Canis lupus familiaris: one gene and its partners. The protein of the gene in region 4 binds, or shares a complex with, the protein of the main gene of each other region. Links are inferred from orthologs where the notes say so. Each region holds a gene or a part of one and is shown on either strand. Other genes may lie near its edges.

Region 1 (6,799 bases), on a different chromosome or scaffold from region 4:
CCAAATTTAAGAAAAAGTAAAATGAAGAGGGAAAAAATCTGGGAAAGGTGGAGGAAAATATATTCTCTCAACATATTTGGGGTTAACATACATATTTCTGTGAAACAAAAAAAAAACTTTTAACACTGAGTAAAAACCACATTTTACTTTAAATAATAAAGTGAAATACAAATATAGCCAGAATTGAATAATTGGAATCCTCTAATTCATCATCTACCTAGCTATCTTCCCTAACTGTGTGACTCTTGACATATTCCTAGGATGAAATTATCCACGACTAGGCAGCACTGTATCACTGCTCTGAGTGAAGGGGCGATAAGGGTGAGGATTTAAATTTGTCATCAAGATAGATCTTCATTTTAAAAATGAAGGAAGAATAAAAAAAATCTGAATCAAGAATTGCCACACAGGTAGACTTAAAGAGGACTCTGCTGTGCTCCTATTTTAAAAGATCTCTACCTCCGGTAAGCTGTCATTTTACCAGTTTAATTTTACTCACGAAAGTAACATCAATGATTAGCTTTGCCCTTAGGAAAGATCCTCCACAGTGGGAGGTGGTGTTGGAAATCTGACATAGGCTCAACTATGAGAAACATTCCTAAAATTGCAATTAATACTACTACTAATAAACAGTGCAGAAAGCCAGCTCTTTATTTGTTTTATATGAATGAATTTAAACCAGATTTGTTGAACAGTTCAGTGTCACTGACAGTGAATGTTTAACAGGAATGCACAGCAGACCATGTTAAAAATGTGGCATTGTCCCAAAGTACAATATGACTAAGACATCCTACATTTAGCAGCACCTTTTTGTAACAGTAACTTAAATGAGCAGGAGAGAAAGAGCATAGGAAAAACTGAAATGGGGTTGACAATAAAACACAGAACTATCAAAAACATTTCCATTTCCAGCATTTTCTAGGTTGACTACAAAGATCATGATTCTACAACTGAGTAGGTTAAGGTTAAGCCTTTGCTGAGTGAAAAGACTAATTTTACATTCCACAAGTCAGTAAAATCTCCCATTGCCCTTGGGATTATTTCTGCATTTACAAATTGAGTACACACATTTACACATATGCCTGCTATACAGTTTTCACATATAGATGCTCATGTCAAATCCTGCAATATAGTTCTTTGAGGAATACTCTGATTTGGACTAGTATGTTTCACAGTAAAGTGAAAAATTAAGAATCCAGGTATGAAGTTTTAAAACTGGAATCTGTTAGCATGACTCTTTGAAAGGGATAAGTGGTAGCAGCAAGTAAGATAAATACCAGTTATACTTCAAGAGTTCTAAATATCCCAAAGTCATTAAACGGGATGAAAGTTTCAGAAATATTTTATACAAGTAACTACCTGGAATATGGTTTCCCAATGATATGAATAGTTTACATAAAAAATGTATATATTATGACTACCATTTTTATATTCAATAAATAAATTTGTCAACAGTTCAGAGCTAATTAACAAAAAGATTAATTCTGAGGAAAATGTTTCTTACATTGAAAGGGTTTTATCAGGTAATATAACTCATTTTTAAAACTGAGTTTTGTTGAAGGGGAAGGGAAATAAGGAGTTCAACGTGAAACAACTTCACTTAGAAAGGTCCCAGAATATTTGGCAAGAACCTGGAATAATCAAAGAAGCAAAACAAAAATAGATTAACTTATTTAACAAAATAATCATTTCATAATGTACAGTCGGAAGTTAGGCAATTATAGATAGGCATTTTTCAGGGCCAAGCTCTAGGTGCTAGGTACCTGCACACCTAATACTGTCTTACCTGTCCAGGCATAACTGGACAAAAGTGTACACAGAAACGACACAGAAGGTTTCAGCCTTAGCGTGACAACCACACTGTGAGCTGCTTACAGCGCTATATCATTGAGGCATGGAGAATAGGATCTTCTGGGTTCCCCTTCAGAGTCGATGTCTAATGGAGGAAGATATTCTTAACGTTTTGTTCACTTCAAGTCACCTCATTTTGCCCTGATTACTTCTGAAGAGCAGAAACTTTGGTTATAAGAAGCACTTCTAGGTTTTGACGGACAGCGAAACTGTTGGGAGTTGGTGGCAGGGAAGGAATGAAGGGGAAATTTCAGGGAGATAAACAACAGGAACGATAGGCAAGGGTAGAAAAGGAGGTGGGGGGAGTTAGAAAAATTTATTTTCCCACGAAATAATTCTACAAGCTGTGTAAACATTTCTTACTAAAACAAATACTCAAACACACAAAGATTGTACATTTCCAGTGAAACACTCACAGTTAAAAGTTGCTTGTATTTTTACTCTCTAGGAGCAAGAACAAGGAGCCAGCAGATAAATGCTTTCCTAGTCACCTTTGGCAGCAAGCTTCCTCACAATACCTGACTGCTCAATGGATTCTCAAAGCAACACGTAGCACAATTAAATACAAAACCATGTGGGTAGAATTCTAGGTATTAGTCTTGAGTCTTCAGCACTCAGCTCCAACCCAGTCACTCGTGCACACTCTTACACACTCTTACACACAGACACACTTGCACACAGAGGTCCGGCTCATATACTCCAGTGCAGTGACATAAGACACTAGCTACTAATAAGAATGTGTTTGTCACAATCAGTGTGAACTGCATGGATTAGAACAACCTTTGGAGTTTGGTTATATTTACCATAATTTATGGTCAAAATTATAAACTTACAAGGATGGTAAAACATTCAGAAATCAAACCTTTTCAAGTCAGGCAATCACATATTTACAGTATGTACAGACTTTCTACTAGAATGGGGAAAGGTGTCTAGACAATATTACAAATTTCCTGAAGGTGGGCATTTCTAGTCCCTGTAATTCATAAAGCAAATCTGCTGACTTGGCATTAAGACTCTAAAATAGTGTGATCCAACTGATATATATATATGTATATATATATATTATATATATAATCATAAGAAGGTGTTTGCAGAAATAACATTTACAAACTATACAGTACACAGTACTAGTACATAGAAAATAGATTCTAACTTTATGATCCCCTTTGTGTAAGGCAAGACTGAATCTGTCCCCAAATTTAGTCAGCCAGAGGTACAAGCAAGAAACAGTGGTCCATGGATAAATGAATATGCAAATTAGGTGCCTACATATTAAAAATCTGGAGAATCAAGAAATTCCACTTTTTATCTGGGCCAATTGTGGCTTGCTGGATACATCAACTACAGTTTTGAAAACATCAACTATGTTTCTTAAAATACTAATGCCACCTGGATGGCAACAGATTTTGTTCAAGTGGCAGCTATCCCAAACAGTTTTTGAAAAGTCCAGTATACAACCGGAGGACTGCAGCCATACCAGGCGAATTTATATAGCACTTACAAAAGAAAAAAAAGTATATTAATACTCTATCATGCTATTGCTATTCAAGCAACAGCAATACAAAGTGTACAAGACAGATCACATATGACTGCAACGTAGACCCCAAAGATGGAGTCTGAGGGTGGTGGTATACAAGACTTAAAAAAAAAAAAGAAAAGAAACACAAAAGGGCAAAAGTCACTGGCGGATATAAACATCCCTGTTCCATTCCCCAGCCTCGTTCCGCTTTTTGGAGATGCCTTCCCCATCCTTGTCACAATAGCGATCCTTGGATTTATGCCGGCTGCGTTGTTTGTTGCACTCGTTGTGGTCCTGCTCTCGATCCAGGTCCCTGGACCGGTGCCGAGACTCCCTGTGTCTGTGCTCACTGCTCCCGTGGGGCTCATCTCTGTGGTTATGGTCACGGTGGGGGGCATAGTGGTCCACGTGTTCGTGGGAGTAATCTTCCTTCGGCTCCACATAGGCAGAGTCTCGACTCTCCTGGGTCTCTGAGTCAAACGTCTCCTGCCTGGAGAGGCCTCGACTCGTCCCACTGCGATGGCCGTGGTGCTGGGCAGAGGAGGAACGGTGCTGGGTTTTCTTGACGGGTTCCGGACAGGCTTCTTCTTCAGCTTGGGACACAGACCGGGCAGGAGCAGAGCGCTCAGTCCTCTGATCTTGAGAACCCTGGTGGGGAAGGGAGCAAGCACAGGCATCAGCCAAGGTCAGATGTCGCAAAAACAGGTCCGTCCATTCATGTTGATGCCCTTGTGAGTTTCTAAAATGAATCTAACCTAGCTCAGTTACTTCTTTTGTTAACATTGGGTGGCATTTACAAGGTTTGTACTATAACATATGAGACTTTGATTTGTAAGTGCCTACAATAGTGTACAGAGTAACTTTTTGTTCCCCCTTGATGACTAAATGAGGGGGGGCATCATTTTATATCTTCTCCTGGGGCTCAGATACAGAGGTCCCTAAGATTTCTCAACACACAAGTGTACATTTCACTACCTCTACTTGTATACAAGTGGGAAGATTAAAATTGCTTAAGATGTTGGCTTTGGCTTAAGGATTAAGGAGAAGAAATAACATGCCACATGCTTACATACCACTCAGCATGAGGAAAGTACTGTCTTATGACAATCTTCTGTATCAAATGAATAATGCAGCAGCCCTATGAGACAGGTTGCCATTTGTCTTCCTGAGGCAAGGGGCAGGTAAGGAGCTTCTCCAACCTGACCCACTCACTAAGAGGTAGAGTGGATTTGGACCAAGGCAGTCTGATTCCATGGTTGTGCTGCTGGCAATGTAGAAAAAGCTAGCCTTGTCCTACAGAACATGTAGCTAGGGATTTTTAAACTTTATATATGTTTGAGTATATTGTTGACATAGTTCTTATGGGTACACAACTCACACTAAAGATAGTAAATGACTCAATGTTTGTCTCAGTGTGGATGGAGCTGCTCTACTGGAACACACGCTGTGCTGGGTAACTGGGCTTGGATCCCAGCCACGTGACCTAAGGCAGCCTAGTTTCTAGAGCATTTTCTTACGAAAAGAGTCCCTCTTACCTGTGAATTAGAGGCTTGAGTGGGGCTACTGGGCAGAGTTGAAGTGGCTAAAGTACGGCTAAGGAGAGGGTTGGGGAGATGGCTGCTGGGAGGGTGGGTAGCCTTCCAGTAGGCCTCCAGATAGTCGGCAAGGTGCTCACAAGCATCCTCGAGCTGGTTCTCGTCCAGGATCACATCAAACAGCTCCTGCACAGGCAAATATTTCAGATGATACACTTCTAGCAGTCCAGCATTGAGTGAGTGGCACACACACTCAAAGGGAAGTGGCTCATGAGCTGCACCACTTTATATTTGCTTGTGTGTACCTGCTTTCTCCTTTACAAACTGGCTGAAATGTCCTGTTGAGTCAGATTGTGTCTGTACAGCTACCTCCTCAGATTATCATTCACAACCCTAGATGCTTAACCAATAGCAATGACCAGAAAGTGAAAGGTGTAAGGATAGTTGGTTAGGACATGATAGAAAAGAGAGGTAAAAAAATAAAATAAAAATATAATCTGAACAGTATAGGAAGAGGTCTGGTTTTGACCTCGAGATTATGAAAAACTTCATTTTGGAAATTTTGTCCTACTCTTACTTTAGGCAAGAGTAGGACATGAAATTTGGCAGAAGAAAGCTGAAACCACTGATGATTTGACAGGGCCCAAACTTCAAAATATTCCAGACAATAAAAAATATAATCATAATTCTAGCTTCTGATATACCTGCATGTCAAAACAAAACAAAAACCTAGAGGTGATCTCTCGTCCCGAAGCATGATATTTAGAGCAGGGATTAGGAAAAGGAAGGTGTTTAGGTGCCAGAAGCCATGTAACTAATTTATTTGAGGCTATGTAAAAACACATTTCTAAACAATTTCTCAGTCATTAAGAGCTGGCAACTTGCTCTCTATTATTAGAAGTGAATAATAAGTCCCAAACAGATCCATTTTTTAAACCAAATTTTTAAAATCACGTTCCACTTAGGATACTAATTAGATATTAACAAAGTGAGGTCACCACTGAATGCATTGTAGCTTTTTGTAAGCCATCATCTAGACAAGTGCTCATGGGAGGAAGTAGGGACAGTTCACTTCTTAAAAATGAAGACCATGGCTAAATGGAGATAATTTTCTCCCCTGACACTGTTTACCTGTCTGGTTTTTGTTTGCTTGCTTTCTAAATATAGAAATCTTTCTGAGGTCTTCAAGTGGATTATACTGTATATAGAGATAACTTACTGGAGGACACTGAGCCAGTTTATCAGCTGCTACCATCTGGACATTGAGGTGTTTAGCTTGAGATTTCCCTCGAGATTTTATTAACCTTTGTAAAACCTGTGAAAGATAAGATTTAACAGAAGAGTATCTGCACTCAGGTAAAGAACAAGTTTTGTTATTTACTCTAGGGCCTTTTTACATATAACGCATATGGTTTATAATCTATAAAATGTGTAAGCTTATCTGCAAAATTAACATGTTAACAAATTATCAGTTGCAAGTTTTAAAAAATGCTTTAAAAAAGATAACTGGCATAGAGCTTATTATTTGAGTCTTATCTTTATTCAAAGAAACTTCTTGTCTCATGAGTGCTTTACGTTGAAAAAACCTGAGAACCCCAAGAGCTTTTATGTGAAGTACAGTGTTTACCACAGTAGAAACTACAACTGAAATAGTTTTAAAACACTCATTTAAAAATGAAGCCTGTTACATTTTAGCAAATTATTTTTGTAAAAAATATCCACATTTTTTGCAAATTTCTCTAACAAACATACTTGGCTTCATAGAAGAAAACCAAGTCTCCTAGCTACATTTACTTTTAACCTGCTACAGCATACTGTTTTGGCTGAAATAATGTGTAAAAGTCAGAATCAGGTAATTCAGCAAAGGAGGAATATTTAGTAGCCCTTTCAGATA
Region 2 (7,348 bases), on a different chromosome or scaffold from region 4:
CTTCTCTCTCTGCATCTCTCATGAATAAATAAATACAATCTTTTAAAATTTTTGGAAACTTTTCAGCCATTATTTTTCTGCTTTGCTGCTTCCTGCTCCTTTCTCTCTCTTGTCCTTCTGGGACCACCATTATGTGTATATTAGTGCATTTGATATTATCTCACAGGTCTCTGAGGCTCTGTTCTTTTCTTCTTCTTTTTTTTTTCTGTCTATTCCTCACATTAGTTAATCTCAATTGATCTATCTTCAAGTTCACTTATTATTATTATTTTTTGCACCTGCACAGATCTGCTATTTAATCCTTCTAGTGAGTTTTCCATTTCAATTATTATAGTGCTCAACTCCAGGATTTCTCTTAGGCACTTTATTTTCTTTTGTGTGTGTGTGTATGTTTTCTTTTTAAAGATTTGTTTATTTATTTAAGAGAGAGAGAGAGAGCATGAGCAAGAGGGGCAGAGGGAGAGGAAGAGAGAATCTCAAGCAGATTCTGCACTGAGTGCAGAGCCTGAAGTGGGGCTTGATCTCATGACCCTGAGATTACTACCTGAGCCAAAACCAAGAGTCGGACACTTAACCAACTGCACCACCCAGACACCCCAACTGGGTTCCATGCCCAGTGCAGAGTGCAACATGGGTCTTGAACTCACACTATTAGGTCCTTTTACAATAAATTCTATCTCTTCATTGATAATTTGTATTTCATGAGACATCATTCTCATCTTTAGTTGTTTAGACTTTTTTTTTTTTTCTAGTTATTTGAGTGTATCTAAAATAGCTGATTTAGGGCAGCCTGGTTTAGCACCGCCTTCAGCCCAGGGCGTGATCCTGGAGACCCGGGATCGAGTCCCACGTCAGGCTCCCTGCATGGAGACTGCTTCTCCCTCAGCCTGTCTCTGTGTGTGTGTGTGTGCGCGTGTGTGTCTCTCATGAATAAATAAATCAAATCTTAAAAAAAATAAAATAGCTGATTTATAGTCTTTGAGACCAATATCTGGTTTCCTTAAGGATCTATGGACTGGCTTTATCCTCCTTATTTATGGGCCATACTGTTTTACCTCTTTACATGTCTTGTGATTTTTTTCAACTTAAAATTTAAATTTAAAGCTGAAATACTTAAACAATATAATGAGCAACTCTGGAAATCAGAGTCTCACCCTTCCCTAGGATTTGCTCACTGTTTATTATGGTTTGTTTAGTGACCTAATTAATTTTGCAAAGTCTGTTTTCTTTGTTATGTGTGACCTCTGAACTCTGCTCAGTTAGTTTGGTAATCAGCTCACATTTTGTAAAATGCTTGGACTAATACACCTCCTAGTCTTTACTGAGGGGCTCTGTGCTAAGCAGAGAGCTAAGTACTCCGCCAAGCAGCCCACATTTCTGCCTTAGCCGCCGCTTTCTGCTTTCCCACAGCCTCAAGATCAGCCTGAGGTGAGAGCTTAGGGCCTTCTTGGGCTTTCCTGTGCACCATACAGCGCTGTGCATGCACATGGCCTTCCAAATTCTCAGGAATATGTTGGAGCTTTTCTTTTCTTTTTCAAAGATTTTATTTATTTATTCATGAGAGACACCCAGTGAGAGGCAGAGACACAGAGAGAGGGTGAAGCAGGCTCCCCCTAGGGAGCCCAATGAGGGACTTGATCCCAGGATCCTGGGATCACACCCTGAGCCGAAGGCAGATGCTCAACCACTGAACCACCCAGGCATCCTTGTTGGAGCTCTTCCAAGCCACCTATGGACATCTAACTCTCTAGCTGTTTTGGTAGCCTATTGTTTGCCCTAACTGTTGTCTACTGCCTCAGGAAATTATGCTATTAAACATTTGCTTCTAATTGTTTTTGCCAAATGCCCCCTGAGAAAAAGACTGTTTCCACTGAGTGAGCTCAGCATCAGGTCAAATAAAGACAACCTTACAAGTGGGGACTTCCAGGGAACCACCAGGCAGATCAAATAATGACAGTTCTCTGGGAATGAGGCTTTGAATGAGATCCAGCCCCATCTGTCCCCTTTGGGGGCTAAATTTACACTGTTTGCAGGCTATTGGTTTTCAAGGCTCTAATAGACTTGGGGAGTGGGGAACAGAAATAGAGCAAGTTAAAGCACCACAAAACTCACCATTCTGACTCAGATTCACCTGTTTTTCTTGAATAAGCACTCACTGGATTGCTGCAAGATTCGTTAGTGTCCAGGGTTCTGAAAAGGTTTGTTCTGACCGTGTTTTGCTAGAGTTCTCATTGTCTTTATGGAGAAGACATTTAGGGGGATTCTTACCCTGCCATTTCTTCTGATGTCATTCAAAGTTAAAAGATGGGAGGCACTGAAAACAATATTTGGCAGATTTGTGTTTGCGGTCCCTATTACTGCTATTAATAATAAGCGAGAGAACATGTATGCACTCTCTTCCTCCCTCTAGAAAAAAGTAACCCCACAGAGCACAGGAAAGGTGGGTGGGGAAGGTGTCCATCTGCAGAGAAAGGAGAGGGGAGATTGCTGGCACATACTTCAGAAGCTTGTCAAGGGTAGGGCTGGGCTCACAAGCGTGGGAGGTATGATTCACTCTGGAGCGGGGCAAGAAGGCGTAGAGATAGACTCTGGTCAGGGTCAGGACCAAACCATGCCTGTCGGGCCTGTGCAGCTAACCTCTTGCTAGTTTGTCCCTTCCTTGTATGGACTTGCCTCGCCTCCTTGCTCATCTGCTCTATAAACTCAGCAGACTTTAAAAGGTGGGTGCCTCTGAGGACAGGTGGACGGGACCATGGCAGGGCACTCCCATGCGTGGTCCGTGGAGAATCTGCCTCCCCCTGCCCTGCCCCACCCATGGGAATTGGCTGGATGATGCATCTGTTTACGGCTGTGCTGGGCCGGGGCTGAAGGAGCGCGGACATGTGAGCTACGTGATACCCTTCAAGCACATGTCCACGTCTGTTAAAGCCCTCGGCCCGGGGACGCAGTGTTTCTAAGACAGCTGGGTATTTACGAGTCTTCTGTGTGTCCAGGGGGAATGAGCGAGGCAGGGGTTTTCTAGAGCCAGCAGGAGGGAAAAGAGGAGGAAAAGGAGAAGTAGAGGAATGGGGTTTGGGCTCCTTTGTCCCATGCACAGACTGCAAGATCTCTGGGGACTTAGCCCTGACTTCCTTGAAAGTTCAAGGAACTGGGTTCAAGGAACACCCAGTCTGATAACAGAGGGAATAATTCTGCAAGGCAGGTGGGTCCCTGTACTCGCCTTGGCCCACTGTCACCTTACGGTGCCATTTGTAAAGGCTGAAAGGGGCTTTGCAGAGCCCGAACACTGTATTTTACAGGGGGAAGCAGAGGCCGCAATGGGCATGGTGGACCCCAGAGTCATTGGAGTGTCGTGGGCAATGCACGCAGAGCCCAGTCCTCTGGTTCTCCACGCAGGGCTCTTTCCCCAGCGTGTGCTCTGTTCGCTATGAGTGTGGAGGGCTCCGCATTTGTAGCATAGACTGGTCACCCTAATACCACCCTGATCCTTCACGAGGAGCTCACCTCGGATGTGCGGTTCGGTCACAGGGTAGGAAAATTGGGGAACGCACTGAAATCAGAGCAGGAGGACACGCATCCCAGCTCCGAGGGGTCTGAGCTAAGAGAGGATGTGCAGGTGTGACAGTTCTGACAAAAGGCGGGAGGCTCGTCTACGACCGGGCCCTGCTTTACAGATGTGTGGCTTCTGCGGTCAACCAAGGCCCTGCACACAGAAGGGACCCACACTCGGCTCCGTGCGTCACTGTTACCATCTCGAAATCCTTAAAAATATTCACAAAGAGCCCTGCGTTTTCATTTTGCGCTATGCTGTGCAAATCTGGTGGCTGACCCTGGGGAGTGACCGTGCCAGCCGCACATGTCCCTGCAGCCTGAGGACTTAGGGCCACTGAACCTGTCTGTGCAGGGAGAAAGGAAAGCGGGGTCACCCAGAAGGGTGGCCACTGCGGGGGCCAGGGCCTCAGGCCTGTTAGGCCCAGGTGGGTAGCCCCCTGCTCAGGGTGAAGGCCGGGAGCCTCTGCGGGACAGAAAGAGGGACAGGCGCCCTGGCTTTACAAGCGGCCCTGGCCAGTAGGACAGAGGCCGTTCGGATCCTCTTCCCTGGGCACCGAGGCTGGGCACGATCTCTGCTCTGAGGCAGGGAAACCTGCCCTCTTTCCCAGCGGCACCTTTTCCAGGGGCAGGAAGCAGGGCAGGAGGCAGGGATGGGGTCAGAGGGTGGGTACGTTACCCCCAGGCAGGGTGATGGGTCCGCACGTCTTGTCCTTGCTGTCAGTCATGACAATGCGCTTGGTGCAAATCCGCCAGAGGCCGAAGTGGGCCGCCTCGCAGGTGGCATTGTGGTGCTTCACCTCGGGGCTCAGCACGGCCCAGTGGTCGGTCACCACGGCCACCAAGGCCAGCACGATGCCCACCAGGATGCAGAAGAGGGTCGCGCGGACCTTCGGCGCTTTGGTCTGGGACATGGTGGTGGCGGAGGAGTGGGTGCCCTGGGCACAGTCTGGTGGCAGTGTGTCCCGCGCAGGTGGCAGCCAGGCTGGGGAGGTGGCGGTGATTATCGAGCTGGGGGTGGAAGCTAAGTTTAGTGCGTCCGGCTGAGCCAGAGTGGGCTGGCCTCGGGGCTGAGGGACACCAGACGGGGCTGAGCAGCTGCCCAGACGTGTCAGGGGCCTGAGGGAGGCTTCTATTAATGCACATCCCAGGCGTGTCACCGAGGATAGCTTCTCCTCGGGTTTCAGGACTTTCTTTCCCTCCTGAGACCTAAAATACCTCAAGGAGGGGCAGGGAGAGAAGGCTCTAGATGGTGACTTGGGATCTCCACGATTAGCAGCTCAGGATACCTGAGTTGGAGGCAGTGAGGGATAGGCCACAGGGATACTAGATGTGTGGGAATGTGCTTGCTCTGGGCTGCAGGAGGAGGCGATACAGCTGGGTGACGGCAGGGGACCCTGCGGGACACAGGTACCACAGCCCAGCTCCCACACTGGGCAGGCCGGTCACCAGTGCAAAGGGGTGTGAGTGGGTCCTTGTCCTGGGGGTCTGGGGAATGCAGGAGCCTGCGTGGGGACATCTTGGGGCTCCTCCACCAGAACCACCAGGGGCCCACCTCCCTGGCTTTAGCCTCAAGTCCTAGCACAACCCTAAACTGCGGGAAGATTCCTGGTGGTTCCTGGGCCTGGCATTACCCAGCACTGTGCCTGGCGTGGGAATGCTTTTTCCTTTTCAATTCTCCTCCCACCCCTTCAACTGGGTCCAGAAGGAAAGGAAGTCTTTAGCTAACCTTTCTGATGCTTGCGAATCAAAGACTAGCTTGGAGAGGACAAGGAATCTAGCTGGACCTGACTGTCGTTCTGTTTTTATTTTACTGTTTGAGTTTTACTTCTATTAACGTTTCGCCAGTTCTGTTTTCATTTACAAAATAAATATATTTAAGTTAAAAACAACAGAAGTGGGTTGGTCGGCAGGGAACTGTGAAGAGGCTGATGGTGTGTGGACACAGCAGAGGACAGAGGACAGTTTGGGATGGCCCCCAGAGAGTCCTGCGAGCCCGTATGTCCCCCACCCCAGGCTCGAGCCCCTGGATCCCTCCTGGGTTCTGCATCTCTCTCTCTCTTTCTTTTTAAGATTTTATTTATTCATGAGAGACACAAAGAGAGAAGCAGAGACATAGGCAGAGGGAGAAGCAGGCTCCACGCAGGGAGCCTGATGTAGGACTCGATCCCAGGACCCTGAGATCATGACCTGAGACGAAGGAAGATGCTTAACAGACTGAGCCACCCAGGCGCCCCTCTGCATCTCTTCTTTATCAATTGACCAGTTGCCTCTTCTAGGGTCTATCCAAGAGGCTAGTGTGTGGCCAAGAATAGACCCCTGAGCTGGGCAGGGTTTTGACTTCAAAATCCCAGCCTCAGGCTGACACAGCTCACAGAAATACTCTGCCTGTGGGCGGAGAAGCACTCAGGCGTCCAGCCTTGGAGTCACAGACTGTTAATAATAACGATAATCATAGGAACCGCGCATCTTGTGTATCTATTGTATATCACGTGTTGTGGTAAACCTTTCCACATCATTGCCCCCCCGCCCCTTTTTTAAGATTTTATTTATTCATGAGAGACACAGAGAGAGGGGCCGAGACATAAGCAGAGGGAGAAGCAGGCTCCCTGCAGGAAGCCTGATGTGGGACTCCATCCTGGGACCCCGGGAACACAACCCGAGCTGAAGGAGCCCCTCAACCACTGAACCACCGAGGCTTCCCTCCACACCATTGCCTTTAAGCTTCATACCAATCCGTGAGGTGAGTGTGACTATTACGTCCGTTTTACAGGTAAGGATACAGAGGCCCAGACACACGAAGCAACTTGTCCGAGGTCACCCAGCAAGGAGATAGATGGTGAAGCCAGGCTTCAGAACCCAGAGCCCGAACTCTAAAGCAATGCTTGGAGCTGGGAGGAGAGGTCAGGATCTACTGTGGCTACGGGGAGCAAAAGTATCCGTTTCCTCTGCCCTTCTAAGTCCTCAGCGTAGGCTCCCATCACTAGAGAAACACATCCAAACTTATTCCCTGTAAGTTTTCCATGGCACGGAAGCCTTGGCACGGGAAACAAAGACCCAGAGGAAGGGTTAAATCTGAGTGTTTTTATGCCAGTGGGATGAAGAGAGGAAAGTTGGTGGAAAATCTGATAGGAAAACAAGAAGCTATGAACTAAGTGCCCTAAGTTGGGGAAATGAGGTCTGTTCTGACCTCTCTTGGGGTGGGGGAGTCCTGAGTGCTCCATCCCAGTGAGCAGAGCATTAAAGACGGTTGGCCTCTTCCTTTGAAGTCGTCTTTGTGTAAATCTGCCATGATGGAGATTGCAGGGGGTTGCAGGTGATCACCCCCTACCCCTACCCTCCAACCCCCCCTACCCCTTGTTTGCAAAATTTCTCCAATCAGACCTTTTTTGCTCATTGAGGCCATTGTCAGACCCCCTGTGCACCTCTCCAGCACCTTGCTGGGCCAGGGCAGGGGCTCTGTGGAAGCTGGCGTTTGCTGGGAGCCAGGGCTGGGAGACATCTGCACCTGCTGGGTGGGCTCTCCCCTTTCCAGGGCAGGGGGAAGGAGGGCGTCCTGGGAGTGGGAACCAGCCTGCCAGGGATGGAGCAGCCACCTGGGCATCAGAGCCCCTCTCTGCCCTCTGGGATTCCCTCAGGTCATGGGCCTCCTTAAGCTGCCCTCCTGCGTCTCTAAATAAAGGCAGTGCTGGCCGGCTGGGGTGCTGGCCAGCATCACAGATAATGCTGTTTACCAGCTTAGCCTGGGCGAGGGGCTACGGACAGAATTATGTTGAAGCCCAAACCCCAATGTGATGGT
Region 3 (7,370 bases), on a different chromosome or scaffold from region 4:
CTCCCACCCACCCCAACTCCCACCCCATCCCTAGCTCACCACTACGAGGGTCCGGCTGGGCGCCTCCATCACAGCGCCCTCAGTGCCTGGCCCTGCTGGCCTAGGGGGTGGCCCAAACTGCCTGTTCCCCCAGGGGGCTCAGGTTACAAGCAGAGTTGCTACATGTGCAAACTGCTAGGGTATATTTAGCTCAGAGATGTGGCAAGGCCTGCTCCCCCACTCCCTGCCACCTACGGGGGTCAGAACTCAGAACTGAGAGGAGGAAGGACTGGAGGCTGGGGTCTGACCCCCTGGGGTGGCAAACAATGGAGGAACCAAGGCTCTTTCCTGTCAAGAGGAGTTACACGGAGCACAGCGTCATTCCTCCCAGCACTGGCCCTGGCCCAGCCCTGCAACAGGAGGGATGAGGAAAAGACTGAAGAAAGATCTTCCTGTCTATGTACTTAGAAGATGCTGGGATGAAGGGCCCTTGTCTGACCCTCTCAAGTCAGGCCTGGGCTCACATATGCCAAGTGTTGTGGAGATAGAAGAATCAAAAAGGGCCTCACTCCACAATCTGCCGTGGATCTGCCGGGCACCACCCTCATTCTCCAGCCCAAGGGGGGCTGACCTCCCTACTGCCCTATGCTCTCATATGCCCTACCCATTTCCTCTTCAGCATCCGCCCTTTCCTTGTCTGATCCCAAGCCTCTCTCGCCTTTTTTGGGTACCAGGTTTTGTTGAGATGCTCTGTAGTCATAGCAACCACATGCCTCTCTGGCTGCCTCTCCCTGAGCCTGAGATGGCCTGGGGTTGACATTAAGAACAGAGAGAAGAATGGCATCTTCCTGACTGGGAAAAGAAGACCCCAGAAAGCTATTCAGCCTCCTTCAGCCGGGGGTGCTACTCTCTAAAACCCCCTCCTGCCCTGGCCTCCTCCAACCAGCGTACCTTCTCTCAGCATATTTAAGAACAGTTAGCTGGACGTGAGGAGGGCGTTTCCCTGACCCATACCTCACCAAAGCTCCAGGGACCCAAAGGACCTGGTTCCTCATTTCTTAGGCTCTGCCTCTACCCCACGCTGTCACAGGTTCTGGGGGAGGACATGGAAGCAGACAGCCGGCAGGGGGAGTGGGTGACAGCCTGAAGCAAGCTAGGAGGAGGCAGGCCAGGCTGTCCCTGAATGAGATGACGCAGGCAGGCAGGCAGCAGGGGCTGGTGCCTGAAGCTGGGGGAGGGGCAGGGCGGGGGCTGAGGGAGTGGGTGCAGGCTGACAGTATGTGCCGGAGAGGTCACGGGCTAAGGGTGATGGGATGGTTCCAGGCAGGGGGCAAATGACACAGGGGAGGGTACCTGGAGAAAGCCTCAGACTCAGCTACCAATGCTGGTCTCCACCAACCAGCCACCTCCTTCATCTCAGCCCAGCCTCTCCATTACCTGGCGGACAAAACTGTTGGATGTCGTATCCGAGGACGTGCTCCCATCTGACCTTTTGAACCGCCCTTTCCTCTTGCTGTATTTGCCCTGGAGAGGCCAGAAAGGGACAAGAGTGGAATCAGAAAGGGCCGTTCCCAACCCTCATCCCATCAGGCCCCAAGCTACAGCCAGGCTTTGGGAATATCATTCCCTGATCCGAAGAGCCCCACCCCCCATCTTCTTCTAGAGATGGTACAGCCTGAGGGGGAGGAAGGGCCCAGACCACAGCCCTGGGGTGGGGGACAGTGGGAGAGAGTCTTAGGAAACACACATGAAACCCCCAAACCAAGCCAGAGAGTCTGGGAACAGGGAGGCGCTGAGAAGCTGGAAGCTCATTAGGCAGCAAAGCTAATTAAGATGCCGGGCAGGCTGCAGAGGCCTCGGGGGAAGGGAGAGGCTGCCTGCAGTGTGAGGACGGCAGAGGGAGCTGGGGAAAGACCCCTCCTTCTCCCCATCAGCTGGAGCAGAGGGGGGTTGAGTGTGCCTGTGGCCCCCAGAGTGAAGGGGAATCACCAACCCGAGCCCAGCTTGGCTTTCCCTGAGCCTGAATCTTGCCTTCATTTTTCCGCAGAGTGGGGAGGGGAGTGGCAGCTCTCAGTTCTTGGGAGACCCAAAACTACATTTCAGGGGAGGGGATTGTGGGGGGGGGGGGCATGGAACTGTATTTGGAAAGGAAACATCTAACCTCAACCCAGCCTAGTGTCATGGGGGAGGGGTGGAATTAACAGCACCCCGCCCCCCAACCCTGGCAAGACTGTTTCTCAGCCCCCTCTTCATCCTCACAGTGGTCACACCTCTCCCCAAAGGGGGAGAAGGATCAAGCTTCCACTCTCTAACCCTTAGCTGCCACTGCGCATGCCTGGTGCCCATGGTACCTACCGAGCTGCAACAGTCATAACACCCCTTGGCCCTACCCCAAGAGAAGCTTAGGACACAGCCCTCAAAGTCCCTGGGGTAGGCCCACTCAGTCACACTGGGCTCCTGGCTTGGGTGGAGTGAACACTACCTGACCTCTGGAGCAGCCACACATTCAGGTGTTCCCAGGCCACCTATCAAGGGGACTGCTTCCTCGCCCTCCCTAACTCACATACACACTTGGCCCAGGCCAGTCCAGAGTTTCTCTGCCAGAGAAGCTAGATGGGGTGGGAGATGAGGGTTCAGGCCCTCCACGCTCTTGTCCCCAGACTCAATCCTAGAGTTTCTTTGCCAGAGAAGCTAGATAAGACATGATCAGACTGGGGACTCTGGTTCCTCAGACCTGAATACAAGGAGCATGGATAGATGGGAGAGAAAGGTACCCAGGAACCCTTCAAAAATCCACCCTCTCACCCCCTTCTCTCAAACCAGACATATCTCCAACCTCTAGGATTGAGGATCCCTACAAACTTAAAAGGATCCTCCACCACCACCACCACCACCCCCAGGATGGGAAAAGGGAGTGGCACCCAGAGAGACAAGGGACAGCTGAAAGGAAGGCCCCAGTCAGCTGCCTCCCAGGCTCCAAGGGGCCTGGGGTGGAGAAAGGAGGTATTTTTAGGTCTAACCTGACCCCCCCACACACCAAGCTCATCAACCACATTATCATGGTGGTTACAGTTGCTCCAGGCTGGTCACAGCAAGAAAAGAGTTAATGGTATCCCAGCCTTGGGGTGCTGCCAGATTGGAGAATGGCCTTGTCCCAGAGAAATCCCTTGACATGACCACCCCAGACCCTGACCAGTCACCCCAGACTCTGCTTGTCACTCCGTGGGTATGCACCATACCCAAGAATGCCCCTTCCTGGGGATAACTCCAGGAAAAGTGTGACTGGGGGTGGGGCGGCAGACACCCTCTCCCCCCAAACCCCAGGTAACATAGCCTCCTCCCTTCCAAGACAGTGAGTTGGCATCCATCCAACTTTCCAAACTTTGGAGGCGTTTTCTAAGGCTGGGAAGGGGAGGGGGGGAGAGAGGGAAAGATAACGTGGGTGTTGGGAGAGGGAAGGTGGTCCAACAGGATGTAGCTGAGGTGCCGGGATGGGGGCCTAGCCCGGGGCCGACCCCTTCCCCACCCTCGAAGGCCAGCGTCTGCGGCTCCGAAGGCCTGCTGGCACCGCCCTGACCCCCGCCTCGGCCAGCTCCCAGGGCCACCCCCGCCCCACCCACCCCCGCCTGGCGCCCCCGAGCGTGCTCTGCGTCGCCCCCTTTGCCCGAGCTCGCTCTCCAGCCTCCGTCAGCCCCCGGATTCCCCACTCTCAATCCCTGCAGCAGGTACCCCGAGCAGCGAGGACCCTGCCGCGGGGGAGCCGAGGCGTGGTGACAGGCGGCCCGACCGCCCCCTCCCGCTCCGAGAAACCGCAGCCCAACTCCCGGCCAGGCGCCCATCAATCATTAACCGGCAGGGGCCGGGGGTGCGCAGGCGCCCCTCGCCCCTCGCCGCCGGGCGCATAACTCCTTCTCGCCCGCGTCCCCGAGCCGACCCCCGGGGTCCGCGGGAGCGGCCCCCTGCCCTCGGGCCCGGCCGCCACACCTCACCTGCGGGCTGGGGTCGAAGACCTCCATGGGGATCTCCTGGGAGGGCGGGTAAGGGCTCCGGGACATGCTGGTCTTCTGGACCATGGAGAGGAGCCTCTCCTCCCGCCGCCGGCCCGGCCCGGCCGGGCGCCCTCAGCGCATGAGAGAGGCCGTCGGGACCGAGAGCCGCGCAGCGCAGCCGGCGCCCGCTCCAGACACCTGGCCCGGCGGCCGGCTGCCCTCTCGCTGCCTCCCGTCCCTCCTCCGGCTCCCTCCGCTGCCGCCGCCGCCTCCTCCGCCCCTGAGGGCTCAGCATCTCCCCCGCCCCCTCCGCTCCCACCTGCCCCGCCCTCCGCCCGCCCTCCCGCCGCCGCCGCGGCCCCGCCCCTCGCAGCCCCTCCGCCCGCTCGGCGCAGACAATGGGAGGGCGGCCGGAGGGAGGCACGCCCCTCCCGGCCCTGGAAGGGGGTGAGCCGGGCCTCGGACTGGCCCCGGGCGAGAGCGCCTGCGGCGGGGCGTGGGGGGGGAGTGAAGCCCGGCCTTGGGGCTGGGGGCGGGGGCTGCGGTTTACCAGTGGATGCTGAGCGCTGATGGAGGTGAAGCGCGGATTGCCCCCCCCCCCCCCCCCCCCCCGTTCCGTCCCAAACCGCTCTCCCTTCACAGGTCGGCCCATTCCACTCCAGTTTGGGCCGCCGGAACTTCCCAATCCCGTTGATCCTGGGACCCGGCTTTAACTCCTTTCTCCCCGGTGTGGGCCCAGGCTGCCTTGAACCAAACAGAAAGGCCCCTCTCCCTCCCGCAGGACGCTGCCTTCGGAGGCTGAAGCTCACGCTGATGCTGGGGTGATGAGAATGTCCAAAGGCAGTTCCAACACAGACAGCAACCAGAAATCCCAGGGACCCAGGTGTCCTTCTGCCTTTGTCCCTCATATCCCCCCCAGGCACTTCCAGAAGGCAAGGTCCCTGTTTCTTGGAAGAGAGAAGAAAGAAGAAGAAATGTGGGAGATGAAAGAGTGGCTAAAATCGGATCTAGTGACTTTTGATCTAGAACTGCCCCCCCTTCATCCTTAATTTGGGGACAAATATCCAAAGCCTGGACTCCACTCACCACAACCTATGGAGAGAAAAGTAGGGCATTCTGTCAAAAACTGGTATTGGGGCACCTGCCTGGCTCAGTCCATAGAGCATGTGGCTCTTGATCTCAGGGTGGTGAGTTTGAGCCCCACCCTGGATACAGAGATAACTTTAAAAAAAAAAAAAAAAAGAAAAGAAAAAAAGAAAGAAAGGAACTCTGGTGTCAATTTGGTTCAGGCTCTTTCTGGTCACGTGGTCCTGGACAAGTCACTACACTCCTATAAAATGGGGTTGCCGATACTGTAGTCTTTGTCACCTGGGATTCTTAGGGGGATGAGGGAGAATGAAATCAAATGATGGACTGCTCAGGTGTTTGGAGATGCTGCAAGGTGCTGAGCAGAGGTCTCTCATGGCAGGAGGAATTGTTATCTCTCTACCCTACCCCTTACCCTGCTCCTCAAACGGGAGGTGAGAAGTAAAATGAAGATTTGCCCAGGTTCAGTGACCCTAATATAAAGGCCAGCCTCCTGTCTCCTCCTGCTAGAGGAGAGACTGTGGGATGGATACACTGACTCCTTTTCCTCACCCTGGGTTCTACAAATGGATGGGCAGCTTAAGCTGTTTCTCTGATCACATTGAGGGAGAGTAAGAATAAAGCACATCAGCATTGTTCTATGAACAGATCCAATACTGAGCAGGGTTTTGATCTGTCCCTTGGGCACAAGAAAGCTTGGTACGACAGAGAAGTCATAGATATTGAAGTCAGAAAGACCTGGAATTTCAACTTTTGCCACCTCTCTCAGCTATAAAATGAGGATCACACTAACTGTAGTTTTGAAAAAGTGGCAAGTTTTGCTTCCCTTCCTCTCTTTCCTCAGCTGCATTTAGCCCCCAAGAAAGTTCAGATGATAGAGATGGGTGCTCAGCTAGAGCCAAGCAGAGTTAGACCCAGAACTCAGATCTAAGTCTCTTGAACCCTAGAATATTCTCTTTGGGTTTTTGCATTGGGTGTTTCAGAGTAGGAGAAAAGAACTATGGATGACCCTGTCATTCCATCTTTTTGTTTTGTTTAACTTTGACAGCTATTCATTTACTCGGCCAATGCACTATTTCTCAAGTGTTTATTATATATGCAAAGCTCCATGTGAGCCCAACGAGACTGGTTCCTGTCACCTAGAAGCTTGTCTTAATGCTCTCTTTTGCAAGTTAATACATGTGGTTTTCACGACGGATTACAGAAATATGAGGATTAGGTACACTTTACAAAGGAACAAACTGAATCGCCATAAGATTAAGGACCAGAGTGGCGCAAAAACACAAATATCTTTGGTGGGCGCCTGTGTGGCTCAGGTCGTGATCCCATGGTCCTGGGATCGAGTTCCACATTGGGCTCTCCACACTGAGCCTGCTTCTCCCTCTGCCTGTGTCTCTGCCTCTCTCTCTCTGTGTGTCTCTCATGAACAAGTAAAATCTTTAAAATATATATATATACATATATATACACATATATACATATATACACATATGTACATATATATATCTTTGGTGATCTATCCTGTGCTGCAGGGGTTTCCCAATGTACTGGAAGAATGAATAAAAGGTTGCTCTTGACTGATATCTCCCCTCGTTATCTTCTCTCACTCCACTATTTTTTTTTTTTTTCGCTAAGAAAACATCATTCCAAAGAACCCAGAACGCCTGCAAATAGGCCGCTCTAGCAGAACTACGTCCCGCCTGCGGCATCCAGCCGTGACTTCCGGCTTCCAGTACCCACGTGACCGGCCCCCTTGCTGCGCATGCCTATTAGGAAGTCGGACTATACCACTTTGCCTCACCGAAAGGATACATTTTCTGTGTTTTTAAGTTTAAAACCGACTCCCGAAACTAGATTCTGCTGTCTCGGTCTTCACAGAGGATAGGATTGAGTTTAGAGTGTCAGAGGATGAGAGGACCGGCGGGGAGTAGGGGCTCAAGCGGAACAGGGGATGGGCTCTCCCCCTCGCAGATAGTGGGAGGAGCCCGGCCAGGGGGAGTTCTTTCCTTTCGGCGCTGCGGCCGCAGCCATGAGGTGAGGGCGCGCGGGGCCCTGATTTTGGTTGATCCTAAGTGTCGGCGGGCGGCGTGGTTTGCTCCCCTGGCCCCGGGTGGGAGAGATGAAGTGGAGACAGCCCTGAAGCAGCCGGTCCCGGAGCTTGGGGCTGGCCCGAGCGCACTAGGCCCCGGCCTCGGCCGGCGGGGGGTGGGGGTGGGGGGTGCTTCCCGAGAACGCTAGGCCGCGGGAAGGGTGGGCCTCGCACCCCGTGTGGGTTGCGAGCGGCTTGCCGGGACAGTGGAAGGGCCGCCGCAGCGA
Region 4 (7,565 bases):
CAGACATGTTCATTTTCCTTACAAAACTTCAAATTATTGTTTTTGAGCTTTTCTTCTAGTCTCAAAATATTTGAATATACTATTCAGTGTATAAGTTTCCCCTCCTAGGTTTCTCACAGACTTAAGGGATAATACTATTTATATATTCATTTGTATCAATGAGAAAAATCTCTATAGATCAGTACTGAGGACCAACTCATGTTATAAGGTATCAGAAATCTCCCTTTAGCTAGGCACTCTCTAAAGGACCTGGATTCTTTGGGCATAGTCATTCATCCAATTTTAGGACTCCAACTAACTGTTATCCACATCAGTCCATCCTGGTTTTCCAGAAAGATATAAGGATATGCTAACAAATTCTTTGCCAAACTGAATGCAAGTCTATGGCATCACCAAACTAGTAACCCTATTACGAAAGGAAATGAAGTTGCTTTTGGGTGCTAGCCTAATGCTTCAGTTTCCTCATCTATAGGATAAGTGAGTAAGTTCAGATGATATTCATGGACCCTTCATGGCTCTAGAATTGATTGCTTGGCATGATAGGTTTGCTTCCCCAAATCCAAAAGCATGGCTCTTGCCTCTGTTGTCTAGCAATGCCAGGAGCCTGGGGACCTAACCTTCAGTAGGTTATGGTGCTTAATCTGACAATTCCAGAAGGGAGTTTCTAGAGAAAACACATGCTATGGCAGGAATTCTCAACCCAAGGCTCTCTAAAATTGCATGCAAAAATTTGTTGGGTTATGTGCAATTTTAGGGGAAGAGAATCCCTAGCTTCTGTCAGCTTTCCAGAGAGGAGACAGGACCTGCTCTGCGGAATCTCTTGGAGGGACCTCAAGAGGAAGGTATGGTGCTCACATTTTTCTTATCTGCCTGTCCTTTCTTCCGTTCCTTGTTTGCCATGATCACCCCAGTGCGCAAGGTTTCAAACACAGGATCATTGTGACTGGCCGCAGCTAGTGGGAATGGGAGAAGAAAGAAGCCATTACTGGGGAAGCAGAGAAAGACTTGAAGGAAAGAGAGACCTTCTAAGTAAGGGAGAGGTGGGATTAAGTAGACGGATACGTGTGTGTGTGTGTGTGTGTGTGTGTGTGTGTGTAGGATTAGGGTGGGGTCAGCTGGGCATATCTAGGTCATCAATCTATAAAGAGCTATAAAAACATCACTGGGAATGTAATGTGATGGAGAAAAATACTTACCAGCACTCCTTCCAGGCAGAGCATTATATGATGTTGGAAAGACAACTTTGCTAATAAGTTGCTTGGGAGTTGGGGAATGCTCACAATCACTATTCTCCTTTTAAGGAGAGTGGTCCTTTAACTGCTGGCTTTTCTGCTGAGTGGCATGTGCAAGCTGGAGTGCTGCCACCAGTGGGTTCTTCTTTTTTCCACCCATGCTCCTCATAAAGATCAGCCTCTCCTCCAAATAAATGTTGAGTAAAATTGTCAACGAATATGTTTGTAAGGGTTGCCAAATTATGAATCTGCCCAGGATGCCCACAGCTCTTGGTCTAGCCCTGAGACTGGTATTACTCTGTCACAAGGATGAGGACAGTCAAGAATCCTTGTTCTTACTTAGACATAGTTTTACATATGAAGAGCCCAGAGTTTGAAGCTAGGCAGATGAAGGTTTCAGTCTTGGCTTTGTCTCCTGCTAGTGGTGTGGAGCCCTCGCTAAATCTTATCTTCCCTCAGCTATAAAACAGGAATACTGACTCTGTATTCAAGATGGTAGGTTGAGCAAGAACCATGGGAAATAGAATCTTTCTGTTTCAGAATTTGGCTTCCAGATCTAGAGGTGGTGCTGGAACCATCTCTAGGCTTGCCCTTTCCCTCGGGTCCCACATGGAGCACTTACAGAGATCTTTGACACAAGCGTACTGCTGGTTGCTGTAGAGTGGGGAGCTATAGGCCCGGTGGAAACCAGGGGGCTGTAGGGTGGGATGGGAGAAAGCATTAGAGACAGCAAGCTATGGCCCAGAACCCCATCTCTCCCATGAGTAAACCCCTTCTTGGGGTAAGAGATGGGCTGAGAAAGAAAAAGCAGGGAAATGGATATGACGACTTGGGAGGGACGGAGGGACTGCAAGGGGGGAGCTGGCAACACGTCCCCTCCCTTCCTTCTCGCTCCCCAGAGCCTACTCACGATCTTGCCGAAGCATCTCTGCATCTCCACATAGGACTGACAGTGCTCGTGGATGTTAGTTTTGCAGTTCTTACAGCGAAGCCCAAATTTGTTGTTGACTTGGGAAAAGCAAGAACATTTGGGTCAAGTTCTCCATTGCCCCTTCCTTTTTGTACCAGTGCTGCTACTCTAGCTCTCAGGTCCCTTTTTGGTCTAGGACCACATTCTCGGGTTTTTTTGTTTCTTTTTAAATATTTATTTATTCATGAGAGACAGAGAGAGAGAGAGAGAGAGAGAGAGGCAGAGACAGAGACAGAGGGAGAGGGGGAGGGAGAGGGAAAAGCAGGCTCCATGTAGTAAGCCCCCTGTGGGACTCAATCTGGAGACTCCAGGATCATGCCTGAGCCAAAGGCAGACAGATGCTCAACTGCTAAGCCACCCAGGGGGTCCCACACTCTCTTTCTAATGGTGTTGATTTTTTATTTTTATTTTTATTTTATTTTTTTGGTGTTGATTTTTTATTTTTTTTTTTAATTTTTTTTTATTTATTTATGATAGTCACAGAGAGAGAGAGAGAGAGGCAGAGACATAGGCAGAGGGAGAAGCAGGCTCCATGCACCGGGAGCCCGACGTGGGATTCGATCCCGGGTCTCCAGGATCGCGCCCTGGGCCAAAGGCAGGCGCTAAACCGCTGCGCCACCCAGGGATCCCTGGTGTTGATTTTTTAAAGATTACTTTTTTATTTGACAGAGAGAGAGCGCGCACGCAAGAGAGGGAGGAGCAGAGGGAGAGGGACTCTCCCCCTCAAGACCTGAGATCATGATCGGAGCTGAAATCAAGAGTTGGACGCTTAGCTTAGCCGGCTGAGCCATGGCTAAGCCACCCCTGAGCCACCCGGGTGCCCCTCTGCTAGCGTTTTCTTAAAGCTGCCTCTTGCTCCAGTCTGCCTGCTATACAAATGCGCCTCTCCTGAGCCCATTCCCCCACCTCCTGCCTTCAACATTACACTCTCTCTACTTCCCTTCGTGACTCACGCACAATCATCCGGGCACAGACATCACAGAACTTGGGCTTCTTGAAGAAATGATCTTTGAATTTGTGAGGCTTATCATTGACAAGCTTAGGAGGTTCTGGGGGTGGCTCTTCCTCCTCTTCTTCCTCCTCCTCTTCCTCATAGATGTAGTAGATGGGCCCACCCCCAGCTCCCACTGCCTCCCCATTGGCCTGGGGCTCTGGGGGAAGCTCCATCTCCTTTGTCCCGGGAGACTCCTTCCTGAATAACTGCTTCAGCCGCTGTAGCTGAGGGTGGAAGGGGATGGGGGAAGGGAGGAAACCCAAAGTTAAAAGATCTGTCATGCTCTCCAGAGCAGGTAAGGCTGACTACTAACTACACATTTTTCCAGTGTGGGCAAGGGGCACACCCCAGGATTAGGAGGTATTGGGGGATGCAGGTGCTGGCTAGCATTCTGACAACGGATCAGTCACATACAAGTGAGATTAATTCAAGCATTCTTGAAGGGCCGCAGTGGCTTCCCAGCTCCCCATACCCAGTGGTCACAGGCCCAGACTCACCCCACTTTGCCGAGTCTCTGCTGGGAAGGAGGGCTTAGAGGACTCCAGCACCTCCTTTTCTGTCATCCTGCAAGAGGTTGGACCCCACTATGAAATCTAATCCCTGACTGCTGTTCTTCCTGTCCTTCACTGTAGGGTGGTTCTTGAAAGGGAGATTTTAGGAGAAATTTGCTTAAACAGAAATCCTTTTACATAGGCTTATCGACAGATTCCATGGAGGTCCAGGGAAAAGCACAGCCGACTAAAGAACTTCCCAACCAGCTCCTGATATCCATCCTTCCCCACTGAGGGGCAACCCAAGTTGACAGCCCCAACACTGTTCAAAGCTGCATGGCTTAGAGATTTTCCTGGTTTCTCCTGGGAATTTGTGGGCAAGAGGGATGTGACACACACCTTCCCAGATCCCTTTTCTTCAAGAGGTTTAATGTGTCCAGAAGCATGCTTGGAGGGATGGGCTGGGAACATCTGTTCACCCATACCCCTTTCTTGAGTCCCGGGGGCCCAGGGCCTAGTTCCCAGCCTGCCTGTCCTCAGCTATTTTAAGTTTTCAGAGTAATATGAGCCTTTCTTTCCCTTACTACTCCATTCCCTTGACCCCACCTCCACCCCACCCTCCAATCCTAGCTCTTGTCCTGGAATAATAATTTCACTCCTAAAACCCCAACTACTCACAAGCAAGAGAGAAACGAAGACATTGAATAGGCTACAGATTGGGGAAGCTGCAGGGAGCAGTTCTGGCAATGGACAGAGGACGAAGAGGCAACTTACGTTTGGGATTCCCTAAGTCAGCCCACAGTCTGTGGAGGGAAGAGGGAGCCCCTGGGGTCTTGATGGTGGTGCTGGGGGAGGACTGGTCCTCTTCCTTGGGGGCTAAGCCCCCCCAGTACCCTCTGTACTCACACCGGCTACCCAGACGTTATTTGTAGACCTCCTAGTCTCTCGCCTTGGTGTCACAGCTGAAATGACAGGGCTGGAGGAAAGTGGACAGCTGAGCGACACAGCTGACACAGAGAAATTGGACACGGGGAGGCCTGGGCTGGGCTGGACCCTAACTCCTCCCATCCCCCAGAGCTGCTATGCCCTGGTTTTTTTTATCTATGGTGTACAGGTCAGTTTTGGCTAAATTTAAGAAGGGACAGTGTCTGTTCATGTTGCATACTTCATTTAGGTGATTTTGGATGACTGAAGATAAAGATGAAATTGTAAACAGTTTTCCCCAAGGTCCAAATACATCTCCAATTCTACCTTCCCTGGACCTACTTTAGAAACTAGCTTTTGATTTTTCAGCCATTGGCTTCTTGTGGCCATGTGTTTTTACACCCTCAAGCACTCATCTAGCTTCAAACCTTTAGGAAGGAAAGAATTTGAATTCTCAGAGGTTTCCTATCAGCCAGACTAGACTGCATCCTTATCCAATAGTGGTGGGAGGGGTACCCTGCTCCGTCCTGAAAGGTAGTGAGGAACATGCATAGTACTGCTTTATTCCCTCCAGTACCCCAGGAACATCTTCCCTCCATTCTAAAATCTTGTCCTCAGGGTGAAGGGAAATCTAAGAACTACTGAAAAAATCCAGGCTGGGACTTCCATCTGAGGGGCTCTGGGGGATTGCGGGTCTGATGGTCAGGTAGGTAGAGATGGTCTTGTTCAGACTGGACAGAAGGCCATAGCTACCACACAGGGCGGGTTTTATCTTCAGTAAGTAACGTCTGCTTCCCCATGAGGATTGCAAACTTTTGGAGATAGGATAGCTGAGCCCCACACTTCGAAATCATTTTGATTCCCTGATTCCATCTCCCTCATCTGATGCCCCAGTATATGAACTTATGGGTCAATGAGATATCTGGCATCTTATCTCGCAGGGATGCAGCCTTCTCCTACTCTGGGCTGTGACATGGCTGAAAGAGAAGATACTCCCATCTCGGAGGACAGCCATTTGGATGTGGTCATGTAGTGCTGCTTTATCCCTTGTATCTGTAAGAAGTAAAGGATTATGTTGGAGGCTGGGTCAGACAAGCCTCAGAGGAGCCTGGCTAGAGATACTGCTACCCACACCCAAGAGATTTCCAGGGTAATGTGCTTTGTCATTTCTGTCACTGCTCTTTTTTCTTTCTTTAAGGGGTGGGTGAGATCGAGCAGGGCCTGCGGGATGGCTCTTAATGGCTTTGGTCTGACAGGCTGCACAACAACAGGGCTAGCTTTGAGAAGCCTCAGCGAGAGGAAAAGCTCCATCCATATGGGGTGGGTAACGTCTGCTTTTCACCTTTCTTCAGTTGCATAGGACAGGGACTGCTGAGTATACCTGGATAATATGGGATCTCGGCACTGCAAGTTCAACTGACATAGCTTTTATTGTAAGAAACATCCACTTCTGTCCTACCATGCAGAACCCAATGGCTTTTGTATTAAAGAAGGACCCAAGTCCTCCATCCCTGAAGAGTTTTCAGAAGATCAGATTCTGGACACATATAAGGCCACCATCTCAACCCAGTTCTGGACCTCGCTCACCCCTCCCAGCTCAGCCACAAGGGACCCTAAAGGAGTATTCACAGAATTAACAAAATGGAAGGAACCTCAGAGGTAGGCCAGTGAGTCCAAGTCTCTTATTTTACTAATAAGGACTCAGAGGTCTGGAGTTGAGAAGTGATGTGTCTGATGAAACCACACTTGGAGAGTTAGGAGAGCCCAGAACAAAGGTCCCATTAGAGACCCAGCCATCTGTCAGAACATTATGTACAAGGACCGGGGTGGGATGCATGGAACAGTGTTAGGAAGATATGTGTGCATAGGCTAGGGAAAGCCATCCTACGTGAAACCCCTCCAATAGCTGTGGGATTGTACCTACCCAGGACCTCCAACCCCCACCCACACCAGGGCAGCAACAGAGAAACAGGGACTGACGTCCAGTGACAGATTTTTTTTTTATATTTAAAAACAAAGTCAACCTCCCCCCAAATAACCCCCCAAACAAACAAAAAATCAGATTAAATAAAATTTACAGTGAATATACCCAGCAAACATCTGTATGTGCAATTAAATACTGTCTGTTACTGCGGCACGAACCTCAAACAAACAATATACAAGTGTTCTGGGAGGTGGGGGGGGAGGCCCAAGTATTAACTCTTTGGGGTTTGGGGAGACAAGATGGGGGAAGTGAGAGAAAGGGGAAATCAATTTTGCTTTTCTTAATTCTGTCCATATAAATATATTCATAAAGACCAGAAATGAAAAGGGAGCTTGGGATGGTAAGGGGATTGAATAGGGGAGTGTGGGACCCTCCCAATTCTATCTGACCAAAAATATGAAAAAAATTAATTTCATGGTGGGAGAAGAGATAAAAAATGACAGAAGAGGATGGGAAGGAGAGGGAAGCAAGGGGGGGCCAACCAGGGAAAATGAGGGGACCCATGGCAGGGGGGGGGGCGAGAAGGAGTCCAGTGCCAGTGTGTCTGTTCCGTCTTCATCCCCACTGTCTCAGGCTCCAGTTCAGTGTCTGTCACCTTCCTTTCTGCCTCTGTCCATGGTCTGTCAGGATCCCTCGATCCCCTCCACCCTGCTTCCACCCCTACTGTGCCGGACCCTTCCCCTCCTCCGTTTATTGGGAGCTGGCTCGCTCCAGGATCCTCAGGTCATAGTTCTTTTTGGCCACTCGAAGTTTGAAGCGACTCACAGAGTTGTTGAGGCGAAGGGAGGCATTCTGGGCAGCCAGGGGGCTGGGAAACACAGCCACGATGGTGTACAAGGCAGCGAGGTCCGCGTGGCGGCCGTTCTCAGCAGTCCCACCGTTGTCCCCCCCGCCCCCGCCAGGCAGCCCCTGAGCATCCTTGAGCCATTGAATCTTGGCGCCAGACATGGCGAGCTGAGTGAAGAGTTTG

What was found.
Region 1: STAC3 (region 4) and CACNB2 share a complex: the UniProt entries of both Homo sapiens proteins name them as parts of the calcium channel complex. The link is inferred for Canis lupus familiaris from reciprocal best matches to the Homo sapiens genes STAC3 and CACNB2.
Region 2: STAC3 (region 4) and CACNG1 share a complex: the UniProt entries of both Homo sapiens proteins name them as parts of the calcium channel complex. The link is inferred for Canis lupus familiaris from reciprocal best matches to the Homo sapiens genes STAC3 and CACNG1.
Region 3: STAC3 (region 4) and CACNB1 share a complex: the UniProt entries of both Homo sapiens proteins name them as parts of the calcium channel complex. The link is inferred for Canis lupus familiaris from reciprocal best matches to the Homo sapiens genes STAC3 and CACNB1.

What each region holds. Positions count from the first base shown.
Region 1 is NC_049223.1:17,482,654-17,489,452, forward strand, and holds the end of CACNB2 (voltage-dependent L-type calcium channel subunit beta-2), read right to left. Parts: intron 6,221-6,799; coding exon 6,125-6,220; intron 5,092-6,124; coding exon 4,906-5,091; intron 4,019-4,905; coding exon 3,530-4,018; 3' UTR 627-3,529; downstream 1-626. UniProt on the Homo sapiens protein: Beta subunit of voltage-dependent calcium channels which contributes to the function of the calcium channel by increasing peak calcium current. Plays a role in shifting voltage dependencies of activation and inactivation of the channel.
Region 2 is NC_049230.1:13,484,260-13,491,607, reverse strand, and holds the start of CACNG1 (voltage-dependent calcium channel gamma-1 subunit), read right to left. Parts: upstream 4,630-7,348; 5' UTR 4,464-4,629; coding exon 4,229-4,463; intron 1-4,228. UniProt on the Homo sapiens protein: Regulatory subunit of the voltage-gated calcium channel that gives rise to L-type calcium currents in skeletal muscle. Regulates channel inactivation kinetics.
Region 3 is NC_049230.1:23,127,598-23,134,967, reverse strand, and holds the start of CACNB1 (voltage-dependent L-type calcium channel subunit beta-1), read right to left. Parts: upstream 4,236-7,370; 5' UTR 4,053-4,235; coding exon 3,969-4,052; intron 1,504-3,968; coding exon 1,417-1,503; intron 168-1,416; exon of another isoform or gene 70-167; coding exon of another isoform or gene 40-69; intron 1-39. Other genes in the region: RPL19 (60S ribosomal protein L19), read left to right, coding at 7,084-7,088. UniProt on the Homo sapiens protein: Regulatory subunit of L-type calcium channels. Regulates the activity of L-type calcium channels that contain CACNA1A as pore-forming subunit.
Region 4 is NC_049231.1:1,727,032-1,734,596, forward strand, and holds the start of STAC3 (SH3 and cysteine-rich domain-containing protein 3), read right to left. Parts: upstream 4,643-7,565; 5' UTR 4,462-4,642; intron 3,836-4,461; exon of another isoform or gene 3,761-3,835; 5' UTR 3,760-3,760; coding exon 3,694-3,759; intron 3,421-3,693; coding exon 3,156-3,420; intron 2,241-3,155; coding exon 2,143-2,240; intron 1,928-2,142; coding exon 1,855-1,927; intron 1,412-1,854; exon of another isoform or gene 1,197-1,411; intron 954-1,196; coding exon 856-953; intron 1-855. Other genes in the region: R3HDM2 (R3H domain-containing protein 2), read right to left, coding at 5,542-5,664, 7,361-7,565. UniProt on the Homo sapiens protein: Required for normal excitation-contraction coupling in skeletal muscle and for normal muscle contraction in response to membrane depolarization. Required for normal Ca(2+) release from the sarcplasmic reticulum, which ultimately leads to muscle contraction.